Cricetulus griseus: one gene and its partners. The protein of the gene in region 3 interacts with the protein of the main gene of each other region in a pairwise test. Links are inferred from orthologs where the notes say so. Each region holds a gene or a part of one and is shown on either strand. Other genes may lie near its edges. The genes, in order: Arnt, Fgfr4 and Map2k3.

Region 1 (3,745 bases), on a different chromosome or scaffold from region 3:
GAAGACCTGGCACCAATTATCTATATGGATTTGGGAACTAAGAATAAGGTTTTTTGTTTGTTTCTTTGTTTTGTTTTTTAAGAATAAGGTTTTTAAAGGTGGCTTAATTTCAACAGGACAGATGGCACAGGCCTTCACCTTTAATCTCAGGAGCAAAGGCAGGGGGATCTCTATGAGTTCCAGGCCAAGTCAGTCTACATAGTGAATTCCAAGGCAGCTAGAGTCATGTAAAGAGACACTACATCCAAGGGGAAAAAAAAAAAAAAAAAAGGAAAATACATAAGCTGGACAATGGTGATGTATGCCTTTACTCCTAGTACTCAAGAGGCAGAAGCAGGAGGATCTTTCCGAGTGATCCTCTGCTGAGGCCAACCTGAACTACAGAAAGAGTTCCAGGACAGCCAAAGACACATAGAGAAACTTTCCCTCAAAACCAAAAACCAAAACAAGTAAGTAGTTGCAACAGTTTTCAACTAGTTTATCAACAATCCAAAATTCACCTGAGTGCAATACTAACATCATCTACTTGGTTGACTGAAGTTGCTGTGGCAATCTGATTGGAATTTGTTAATGTTTCACAGTTAAAGACAGCAAGTTGAGAGGTTGACGATTTAGCTCAACTGGCAGAATGATTGCTTAACCCTTGGTGCAATCCCAAACACAACCCGTAACTCGGGCATGCTGGCCCACACCTATAATCCCAACACTGCGGATGTAAAAGAGCAACATCAGGAGGGTGGAGATCATGACCAAGCAAATTCAAGGCTACACTCTGCTAGTGGTGAGACCCTAAAAAACCAACCAAACCAAAGCTGGGGTGCTGTAACTGCAGCACTCACTCTGGAGATCTCCGCAAGTTTCAGGCCAGCTAAAGTTACACATTGAGATTCTGTCTCACAACAAAATGAAAAACAGAGCTGGGTGGTAGTGCTAAGTGCCTTTCATTCCAAGCACTCAGGGGACAGAGACAGGCAGATCTCTGTGAGTTCGAAGCCAGCCTGATCTTACTGTTACACAGAGAAATCCTGTCTTAAAACAGCCCCCACCACACCCCCACGTTGGAAAAAAAAGAAAAGGAAAAACAGAAAACATCAACTCTACTATCTTCACTTCCTGGTCATCTTACTAAAGAAAGGAGGAGGAAGACAAAGGAATTCAAACCTTTAACCTCCCTACTGCTGACCGTGTACCAGCTACCATACACATGGGTGAAAAGTGTATGCTGCAACTCTGCACTGTAAACACTAAGGAAGGCAGGGCTGTGATGACACACCTTTACTCCCAGCACTAGGGAGACAGAGGCGGGCGAATCTCAAGGAAGCGTTAGGCCCCACATGGCTGAACTCTGCTATGAACAATCACCCTAACAAGCCTGCAAACGGACGGTACTTTTGCTCCCATGAATCCTTACCTGGATGCATCATCAAGGAGCTGGTCAACATAAGCCACCTCAGACTCCTTCTGTAGCGACCACGTCTCCAACTCTGCTAGCTGCTTCTTGCGCTGCTGTATACAGTCCATCTTTTCCAGCATTTCATCAATGAACTGGCGAAGTTCCTCCATAGAGATACCCAGCTCTTCAACCACTGCCTGCTGCAGCTCAGTCATGTCTTCAGAGTCAGGGGCAGCTGTTGCTGCATCCAAACTAACGCACCCAGGGAGGGAGGACATGCTTTTGCCCTGTGCAGAACAAGGAACCACGATGACTCTGACATCAACAAGCCGGCAATTTCAGCCTCATCATAAAACGCACTCCTATCCTGCAAGCTCTTGTTCATAGTCTGTTCTCTCTCCTCCTTCACCAGAATGCCACCCGGAGATTTTCTGGGGAAACTCACCTTCTCACACAGACCCACGGGCATGAGGAACAGCTTGGAGGGCTTGCAGAACACCGGTCTGCAGTAGAGAGCTGCCCAAAACAATGATTCGCAAAACTGAAGCGTGCTTGTCTACAAAGGAAGGTATTTCTGTGAGCTAACGTGCTCCTTGTTTATCAAGGAGACGAATCCGTCTCTGCGCTGTGTCTCAGCTGAAGTACCACGTCCACCTGGACACAGCTGGGCCGTAACTAACTACTTCCATCTTGGGTTTTGACTCCTTTTCTCCCGTTACGTTACTTTGCTTCCCCGTGGGAAGTAACTCCTACGACCAGGCAGGGGGTTGCTGCACAGGGAAGGGGTCCTCGGCTGCACCCGGCCCGGAGTCTGCGTCCAGCAGGAGGGAAGGAAAGGAGGAAACACGAGGTCTTTGCTACCTGCACAGAGCACAGCTTGCAGCAGAGGCCACACAACCTCCACACTCGAGTCACGCGCTCGGGGCTCGGCCACCAAGGGAAGGAGCCTCGGCCCCGCCGACCCGGTCGGCCCCGCCCCCTTCGGCCCCGCCCCCGCCCGGCTCCGCTCTCCGCCAGGTGTCTACACACAGCTGCCGCCTCCCACAGAAAACCCCCGGGGTGCCCGCCTCAGCCTACCTCAGCCAGCCCTCCTCACCACTGCGGCTCCCAACCACGAGGACCCCAGATTCCGACTCCAGGGCTCGGCCTCGCCCACAAACACAGAAACCCAGAGAGAGCGAGAGAGAGCGGGGGTGGGAAAGGCGCGTGAGGGATCAAGAGGGAAAAGCAAAAGGCCCGGAAGCAAAATCGAGCGCCCTTCCGGCCGCTCAACGGTAGCCGGACAGGGTCAAATTTACTGCCCAGCACGGCAGAATAAGGACTGTGGGAACCTAAGATTGAGCATGCGTCAAGCCGGCGTGTATAGCTAGTCTAATCATTAATACTATCAGACTTCTGAGAAGGATAAATTCTGTGTAACTTCTGAATCTATTTAAAAATGACAGGGTCCATTCCATATAAAGTTAGCCATACCCAAGTCTCAATAGTGTTGGGGGCAGTAATAAATATTCGCCAGGTCCATATAGTGAGAGTTTTTTCTCTCTGTGGAAGAGGGACATGGAAAAGACTGACCTTATTTTGTCTAGGCAAAGGTGGTGAAATCAATTCTCCAGTGTCCTGTAGCCTGTCCACAGTCTGAGCCCGGTCCTGTCTGGCAGCAGGTTTAGCATCTGAGCATCATGCTCATTGGTCAGCATTGTCACAGTCCATGGAGCCCCATAATCTTCTTTAGAGACCTTGGGTCACTGTCAGGATCTGGAATTATCTGTCTGATATTATAAGCTTTTTAGTTAGCACTTTAAATGCCATACTCTGCAGATCTCTATAGTATTAGAAGTCATATACCGGGGACTGAGTCAGGTTTATCCCTGTTATTAATCATAAGTACTTAGCTTGACCATTGAAAGAACCCGCTTCCCTGTTGGCAGCCATTATGGCCGAACATGTGCTTCTATGACCTTGACCTAGACACTAGAAAGTCAGATGCCTGTCTCGTGACAGGGAGCCAATCAGAGGTTAGCTGGTGGCGCTATGCTTTACGACCTTAGGTGTGCTTTACGTACAAGCAATGACACGAAGAGCATAGCAACCACCCTGGGAGGGCCTATGGGCCATAACAACCAGTTGACCAATCAATACAGGACAAGCCCTCCAAGCCTGGAGACACACCAATCGTGAGCCTGTGCGTAAGCCTGTGCGTACCCCTAGACACTCCCCTTACGCTGCCCTATAAGATCTTTTGGGAGCCCGTAGGAGCCGTCTTTGCTAGCCATCTGCCATGGCGGGTGGGTGAAAGACCCGAGCTAACATGGGGTTAGCTCGTTAAATTACAATAAAGCCTCGTGCAGTTTG
Region 2 (3,645 bases), on a different chromosome or scaffold from region 3:
ACTTAGCCAGTCCTCTTCAGATTTTGAAAAAGGGTTTCACTAAGTTGTCTGGGCTGGACTTGTATCAATCTGTAGCCTAGGCAGGCCTTGGTTTTATAATCCTATTGTCTTAGAATCCCAAGTATCTGCCCCAAGACCCATGAACTTGGCAATGTGTGTGTGTGTGTGTGTGTGTGTGTGTGTGTGTATGTGTGTGCGCGCGCGTGCGCGCGCGCACAAGTGCCATGTGTGTGGGGTACCTTCAGAGGTCAGAGAAGATGTCAGAATCCCTGGAGCTGGAGCTACAGGTAGGTGGTTTTAAGTTGCCCACATCAATGTGGATGCTGGGAATTGAACTTGAGTCCTCTGCAAGAGTAATGGTTGCACCATCTCTCCAGCCCTGAGACTGGGGCTTTTAAACAGAGTTGATCAATACAGACTTGGATGGGAGGACTATGTGATGGTGGTGTGTAATTTAGTGGGATTGATGAGAAGACACGTGAGGATGATACATGAGGCCCGAGCCCTAGTCACCACACATCTCATAGGGATCATCACCCAGCAGTTAAAGTTTACTGAGCTAGCCAGGTGGAGTTCCAGTGCTCAGGAGGATCACTATGAGTTCCAGGCTGGGCTGAATGGCAGAGTGACTTCCATGTCAGCCCAGGCTAGACTGTGACTCAGCCTTAAGCAAAAAAAATTTCATACCCTGTATCAAAAATTTACTAAGCCCTGTGTACCAGACACATCCTCTGAACGCCAGCCTGAGAGGCAACGGACCATTATTTATCCCAATAGAGATACGAGGAGAAAGTGAGGCTCAGAAGTCACTTGCCAAGGCCAGATGTTAGCATTCAGGCATCTGTTCTGGCCTGCCCTCGGGGTTCTGACAGCTGCAGCCACTAAGAGCACCACCTGTGCACGTTCACTACTTTCCCTTTTAAAAGGGCCCTGCCCATCTCTTATCCCTCTCCCTCTCCCTCTCTCTCTCTCTCTCTCTCTCTCTCTCTGCCTCTCTGCCTCTCTTTCTTCTCTCCCACTGCTCCTGTCCCCAGAGGTTGGTCTCCCCCTCTCTTTTCCCCCTTTTATGATCCCTTTCCTTAATTAAAAAACAAAACAAAACAAAACAAAAACAAAAAACCCTCCACTTGAATTCTGTTGCATGGTATCTTTCTCTCTTGCAGTGCTTTTTTAAAATTACAACACCAGCAGCAGAGTTTGGTCCCAGCATGCCCTGCCCAGGTAGCCACACATACCTTTCAGCATCTTCACAGCCACGGTGCTGGTTTGGTCTGGCTGGGAGGGGTTCATGCCGAAGGCTTCTGCTCGAACCACTTGCCCAAAGCAGCCCTCGCCCAGGGGCTTCCCGAGCACCAGCCTGGAGATGAAGGAGACCCATGGCTCAGATCTGTGGGTACCACTCTTGAGTTGGCATTCCCATCCTTACTCTGCTCAGTGTACCTGTCCCGGGGGAACTCCCAAAGTGGGTCCAGAGGTAGGTCTAGGCTCACAAGGCCTGTGAGCAAGGGTGGGCCACTGGAGGACAGTCGGACACCTCGTACCAGGGACAAGCTCGATTTGCCAGAGGACCGGGACTCCAAAGAGAACTGCAAAGTGGGGGATTTGTTCTGCCTGCTGGGGCCAGGCTGAGAGCCATATAGGGCAGGGGCTGGGGATAGGCACAGTACCTGTCGGGCCAAAGGGAAACGGGACAACTTTTGTACGGTGACAGGCTGGCGGGAGTGGTGGCCATGGATTGCTTGTCGGTGATAGACCCCGGCCAGCAGCAAGACCACCGCCAAAGCCAGTGAACCAGACACATACAGGATGATGTCTGTGGATCTGGCCTCAGATGCTGTGGTGGTCCACGTGACGTCTTCCTCTGCTCTCACCGTTACAAGGACATAGAGAAACTGAGTGGTCAGTGTTCCATGGGTCAGCCTTCCCCCTCCCCCACCTTAGGTCCCCATAGCTACCAACACATAAAGGGACACACACTGAAAAAGTGGCAGTTACACAAAGTCTTATACCCCTGAGGGCCACATGGACAGTCATGTAAAATCAGACACATATCCCTGTTGGATTCAGCGAGAAAGCATTAATCTAACATGTACAGTGCCCCAAACAAACAAATACTGTACCCCCACAGGCCAAGGAAACTGCCCACCCAACAGGCCATAGCCTGTGGCCTCTCCCAGGCCTCCCAGGTGCTCACCTGGCAGCACCGTGAGCCACGCTGACTGGTAGGAAAGGCCGATGGAGTTGCCCGCCAGGCAGGTGTACTCTCCCGCGTCCTCAGCTGACACATTCCTCAGGTACAAGACCTCTACCTCTGAGCTATTGATGTCTGTTGTCTGAAGCAGCGACAGGCCGGGTCACAGGAGGGTCAGGGGCCACACTGTAGCTGGGAGGGTGGTTGGGGACCATCCCACCCCAGGGGGAAAGGGTGGGGCCCAGGCGCTCGCAGGAACGGAACCTTCAGGACTTGTACATAGGGGAAGCCGTCAGCGCCGAAACTGCTGCCGTTGATGACGATGTGCTTCAGCCACTGGATGTGGGGCTGGGCGTCACTGTACACCTTGCACAGCAGCTCCACATTGCTGCCAACCACAGCTGTGGTGTTGGCTGGGAGCCCCGCCTGCAGGATGGGCCGGTGCGGGGACCGCTCTGGGGGCCAGGCCAAGCCGTCAACCCTGACCGGTGGCGCCCATGAAATCACCCAGTTTACCTGCCCCAGCCACCATCCCAGTTCAAGGGAAGGACCTTCTGGACTTGCAGCTCAGACCCCGTCTCTTCTGCTCACCCTCCTTCAACCTCTTATGGCTTTACTGCCTCTAGGTCCAGGACAGCGTCTCAGACTCACACAAAGCTTCCACAGCCTGCCCCCACCCCCATAAATGCTGCGCTCACGGCACACACCCGCCACTAACGCTGCTTCCTTAGTAACTGAATCCAGCCCGCGCCGTCTGCCTGGTGGTGCCCTTCTCACTTTCAGGCAGACTTCTCCTTCAGTCCACAGGCCCTTTTGCTTCCTTCTGATCCTTAGAGCCATTTGACTCATCTAAAACTGACTCCATCTTGTCTCCAAGACAAGATACCCACCCTGAGGGCAGGATGGAGCCCAAGGTAAGTAACACTCTTTGTCCTACCCCAGCCCATCCGCTCACCCAGCACATCCAACAGATAGCTGTAGCGAATGCTGCCCAGAGAGTTCTCCACGAGGCATGTGTACGTGCCATGGTCTGAGGGGACCACACTCTCCATCACCAGGCTCCAGTGTTGGTGGCGCAGCTGGAAGCAGAGGAAGTGTCTGTAGGGGACCACTAAACTGGGGAGAGCCAGACAGAGGGAGGACAGAACCTGCCTATGGCTCTTCTCAGTCTCCTTAGGCCCTGAGAGGACCAGACCAAGGCCAGAGATCCCTAGACAGAGAAAAATGCTGTAGGAAGTGTCTGAGTGGGGCTGGAGGCCATTGTTCAGCAATGAAGAGCAATGGCTACTCTTCTAGAGGTCCCAGGTTTGATTCCTAGCACCCAGACGGTGGCTCACAGCCATTTGTAACTCCAGTTCCAGGGGACCTGACTCTCTCTTCTAACCTCTGCAGGCACTGGACAGATACATAGTACACATATATACATGCAGAGTAAAACATTCATGCACATGAAA
Region 3 (3,745 bases):
AGCAACCACTGTTAAAAACTGCATGCACAATAGGTGGTCCTCTGCTTCAGGCAGCCTCCAGGTCTAGTAGGCATGGGGGTGATGGTCAGGATGACAGTGTCCCACTGCTCCCCTAAGCACCTTATACAGGAATGGCATGGAGGGAGCACTGGGGAGATCAGCTTATAGTCCTGCTGTAGCCATGCTCTGTCCATCACAGCTGTGTAGCCTCTGTAAATGGTTCGTGTCCCCGAGTTTCTGTTAATAGGCAAACGGGGCTATGGAGAATAAACAAGGCAATGTATAGCACGTGGTATAGCACAAAAAGCTTGGTAAGTGACAACTCAAAAGCTTTTGGTGAATGGATATTGTCATTCCACCATCACAGATGTCTCCAGACTCCCTAAAAGGCTACAAGGGATCCCGGGCCTTGGAGAGAGTCTCAACTTCCATCCAACCCACCCAATATCATGTTACCTAACCTACAATCTGCAAATTTATACTGGCCCTCTCAGAAGAAAGACCCAGAGAGTCCAGTGCCAGGCCTCAAGTCACCATGAGGGTGGACAGTATCCACAATCAATGCTTTGCTATGTCACCCACAATCTTTCTCCCTTGTAATCTACAACTGCAACTTTATTTTGATGTAGCATCTCTCGCCTGGAAGAACTGAAATGCCTCTAAAACAAACACTGCTTCCAACCCTTCCTGACTGGAGCAGCATCTAATTTCCTGGTTCTCAAGTTCCACGAGGTCTGCATGCAAGTCCCTCCCCAGCCACCTCCCCCAACAAGTGCCTCCCTAGTTACTCACAGAAGTTGGGCAATGGTCAGGGATCTGGCCTCCCACTTATGTAAGATGCAATTACCCCGCCCACTGGGCTCCTGCACAGCCATGGAAGCCAGCTGCAGGGGACTGGAAAGGCCCCCGCCTGCCCAGGACAGCCTGCCCAAGACCAGGACTCCTGAGGTCGAGGTTTCCTAGGTCAGAAGGAGAAAAGGCCACTACTGCCCCAGCATCCTCTAAATGTCTGCCATTCCTATCATCTCTGCTCTGCAGCTGCAATCCAAAGCTGGGCCCCAACCCCACAGGGCTGAACCTTTCCAGCTGGAAACAGCCAACTTTTTCCCCTGTGTACCTACTATGTGCCTGGTGCTACGATGGGTTCTTGGTCATCTCGACCATGATTGCTTCAAACCACCCTACATTTAATCTCCCATCACACCCCAGGTATCCGTTTCATTAATAAGGCCTAGATGTGTCAAGAGACTGGCCAGGTGAGGCAGTGGCAGGTTCAGAATGCAGAGAGTCAACCTATTCACAGCTGTAGGTCCAGTTTGGAACTCTCTTTTCTGCAGCCCAACCTACTTAGTCTCTGACATGTCAAAAACACGTTCCTCTCTTCCTGGAAAAAGAAAGAAAGAAAGAAAGAAAGAAAGAAAGAAAGAAAGAAAGAAAGAAAGAAAGAGAAAAGAAACAGTCTTGCCTTCCAAGTCTTGTCCCCCTCACTTCCCATGACAAATGCTGCTGCTTCTGCAGCCCACGCAGCATCACTGCCACCTCACAGAAATTTCCAAGAAAGCCAGTTAGTTACTTGGAGACAAGTCCCAGCCTTGTACAGTTAGCCCCTGGCCTAGCAGCAAGCCCAAGTACCAAACACCGGTTCTGAAGGCAGCAGACCAAGAAACAGTAGGTGCAGGAAGAGGTCGGCTCCTAAGTGCAGTTAGAAGACTGCAACTGAGTCAACGAGCAGCAGGTAGCATGGGCTGAGCTGCGAAGTGGAGCCGCCAGGAAGTTCTACAGAGACAGCCTCAGGGAGGAGTGCAGGCGGCCAGTGTGCAAGCCAGCAAGGCATGGGCCAAGGAGGGCTCACAAGAACGGATGGAGCTGGAGGAGAGGAGGAGTTCTGAGTTCAAGACTAGGCAGGTTTCCGGCATTGGGAACACAGCCCGGGGGCCCAGAGGAGAGTAAATTGCAGCCTGGACACAATCCAGGAGCCTGGCCTGAAGGGGCTGGTGCAGCCCAAGGACCCTCTAGCAGGCAATCAGTGAAATCCTGGCTAAGTTCAGGATGCAGCCCGGAAGCCTAAACGAGGAGCTCACGATTACGCTCCAGACTTGGAGCGGGGTAGAGAACGAGATCCTGCCTGGGTGCAGTCCCACGGCCTAAGATCCGGATTCCAGTGAGGTCCCGCGAGGTCCCGGGCTCGGGCTGGATCCAGTCCTGGGCTGGAGTGCCATTGCCTGTGCCCGGCCCGGAAGGGAGTCCAGTGTCCCGGATGGGCTCGAACTGAGTGTGGCTCGGGCCGCGCGGTAGGGCGGGAGCGCCTACCTTTGGTCTGAGGCAAGCTGGCCGGTGGACTCGCGGCGGGAGACTCCATGCTGTGGACGGTCGCGGTGGAGAGCACTAATCTAGAGGACAGCAGACTACACCGAGGCCGGGCGCGCTCATGGCTGCTGGCGGCAGGCGGCGGACGATAGGCGATAGGGAGCAGAGAAGCGACGGTAGCAAGCGTCCGAGGCGGGCGGCGCCACAGCCACACTGGGCAGCGGCGGACGCCGGCCGACGGCGCCACGCAGACCCCGCCCCTCGCGCCGATTGGCCTACCTGAAAAGGCCCTTGCCTATCAGACGCCGACCGGACTGTCACGCACAAGCTCCACCCTCCGGGAGCCGGAATCCAACCCTGCTTTCCCCTAGTCCGGTCCGGCTCCGCCCTCTTGCCTATCAAGATGACAGCCCTACCCATTCGCGGTATGGTGCTGGCGCGGTCCTGGATACCCCAGCCTGTGCCCCCCTACGGCACAGCGTGTGCCGGTCGTAATCTGGAAAATCTCAAGCTCTCTAGGATAGTCGGACCGGGCCGATGCGGCTGGTAGGGTGCTCCTGGAAAATTGCTCCTGGAATGAGACTGGACTCCTAAGTGGCTGCGCCGTTCCAAGGGTGAGCGTCATGTGCTTCTCCCCTTTAGAGAGCTGCGACCTCGGGCCTGCCTCCTAGGGCAGCAGGGGAAACGAGATCCCGCGGCGGCGCGTGCCAGGTGAGTGCTGACCAACTGTGGGAAAGAGTTCACCGCGCCTTGCGGAGCGCACACGCGTTTAAGTCCGTGTGGCGGCTGCAGCCAAGAGCACCTGACACGCCGGCTCTTAAGGAGCACCCGGATTCAGCTGCTACCTGGCAGTGCCTAGTAACAAAGTAACTTTTTGTGTTGTAACATTATAGCGGCGCTATTCCTAGGGGTTAGGGGTAGTCTCCGATAAAAAGGTGTCATTCCAAACATTGAAATACCTTTGGCCAACCTTGAGTGGGGTTCCATCTCCGCGGTCAGTCGCTGAGCCTCTGTCCTCACACTAACCAGGAGTCTCTGGGATCGGATGGAAAGCCGGGCGGGCGGCCGTAGTGAGGGCAAGAAGCACAAGGTCAAGGAATCAGTCGCAGCCTGAGTGAGTCTTAGCTCTCTGGCCAGCACTCAGGGCACCAATGCCTTGTTTGCATACTTGGTTTCTACCGCACCCCTCCTCCCGTGCCACCCGCCTCCCCCCATTAGGAATTCCCAATTAGGAATCCTGACTGTCTCATCCCCTGCACTATCCCAAGGCTTAGCCCAGAGCCACGCACATAGTAGGTTCCTAAGAACTATTTGAGGAATGAGCAGAGGAAGTAGGAAAGCATGCCACAGACATGGGTAAAGTGATTCTAGTCCCGTGCCAGCCTCCTGGGCACCAGGGTGACTCAGACAAGGTCCTCAAACAGGAGGAGTTTAATGG

What was found.
Region 1: the proteins of Map2k3 (region 3) and Arnt come close enough for resonance energy transfer, tested with the Homo sapiens proteins (2 studies listed by BioGRID). The link is inferred for Cricetulus griseus from reciprocal best matches to the Homo sapiens genes MAP2K3 and ARNT.
Region 2: the proteins of Map2k3 (region 3) and Fgfr4 come close enough for resonance energy transfer, tested with the Homo sapiens proteins (2 studies listed by BioGRID). The link is inferred for Cricetulus griseus from reciprocal best matches to the Homo sapiens genes MAP2K3 and FGFR4.

What each region holds. Positions count from the first base shown.
Region 1 is NW_023276806.1:61,085,606-61,089,350, forward strand, and holds the start of Arnt (aryl hydrocarbon receptor nuclear translocator), read right to left. Parts: upstream 2,619-3,745; 5' UTR 2,471-2,618; intron 2,327-2,470; exon of another isoform or gene 1,950-2,326; 5' UTR 1,863-1,949; coding exon 1,839-1,862; intron 1,681-1,838; coding exon 1,412-1,680; intron 1-1,411. UniProt on the Homo sapiens protein: Required for activity of the AHR. Upon ligand binding, AHR translocates into the nucleus, where it heterodimerizes with ARNT and induces transcription by binding to xenobiotic response elements (XRE).
Region 2 is NC_048596.1:274,156,663-274,160,307, reverse strand, and holds part of Fgfr4 (fibroblast growth factor receptor 4), read right to left. Parts: intron 3,271-3,645; coding exon 3,147-3,270; intron 2,647-3,146; coding exon 2,456-2,646; intron 2,334-2,455; coding exon 2,195-2,333; intron 1,862-2,194; coding exon 1,668-1,861; intron 1,587-1,667; coding exon 1,441-1,586; intron 1,358-1,440; coding exon 1,236-1,357; intron 1-1,235. UniProt on the Homo sapiens protein: Tyrosine-protein kinase that acts as a cell-surface receptor for fibroblast growth factors and plays a role in the regulation of cell proliferation, differentiation and migration, and in regulation of lipid metabolism, bile acid biosynthesis, glucose uptake, vitamin D metabolism and phosphate homeostasis.
Region 3 is NC_048600.1:74,919,843-74,923,587, reverse strand, and holds the start of Map2k3 (dual specificity mitogen-activated protein kinase kinase 3), read right to left. Parts: upstream 2,533-3,745; 5' UTR 2,360-2,532; coding exon 2,311-2,359; intron 1-2,310. UniProt on the Homo sapiens protein: Dual specificity kinase. Is activated by cytokines and environmental stress in vivo. Catalyzes the concomitant phosphorylation of a threonine and a tyrosine residue in the MAP kinase p38.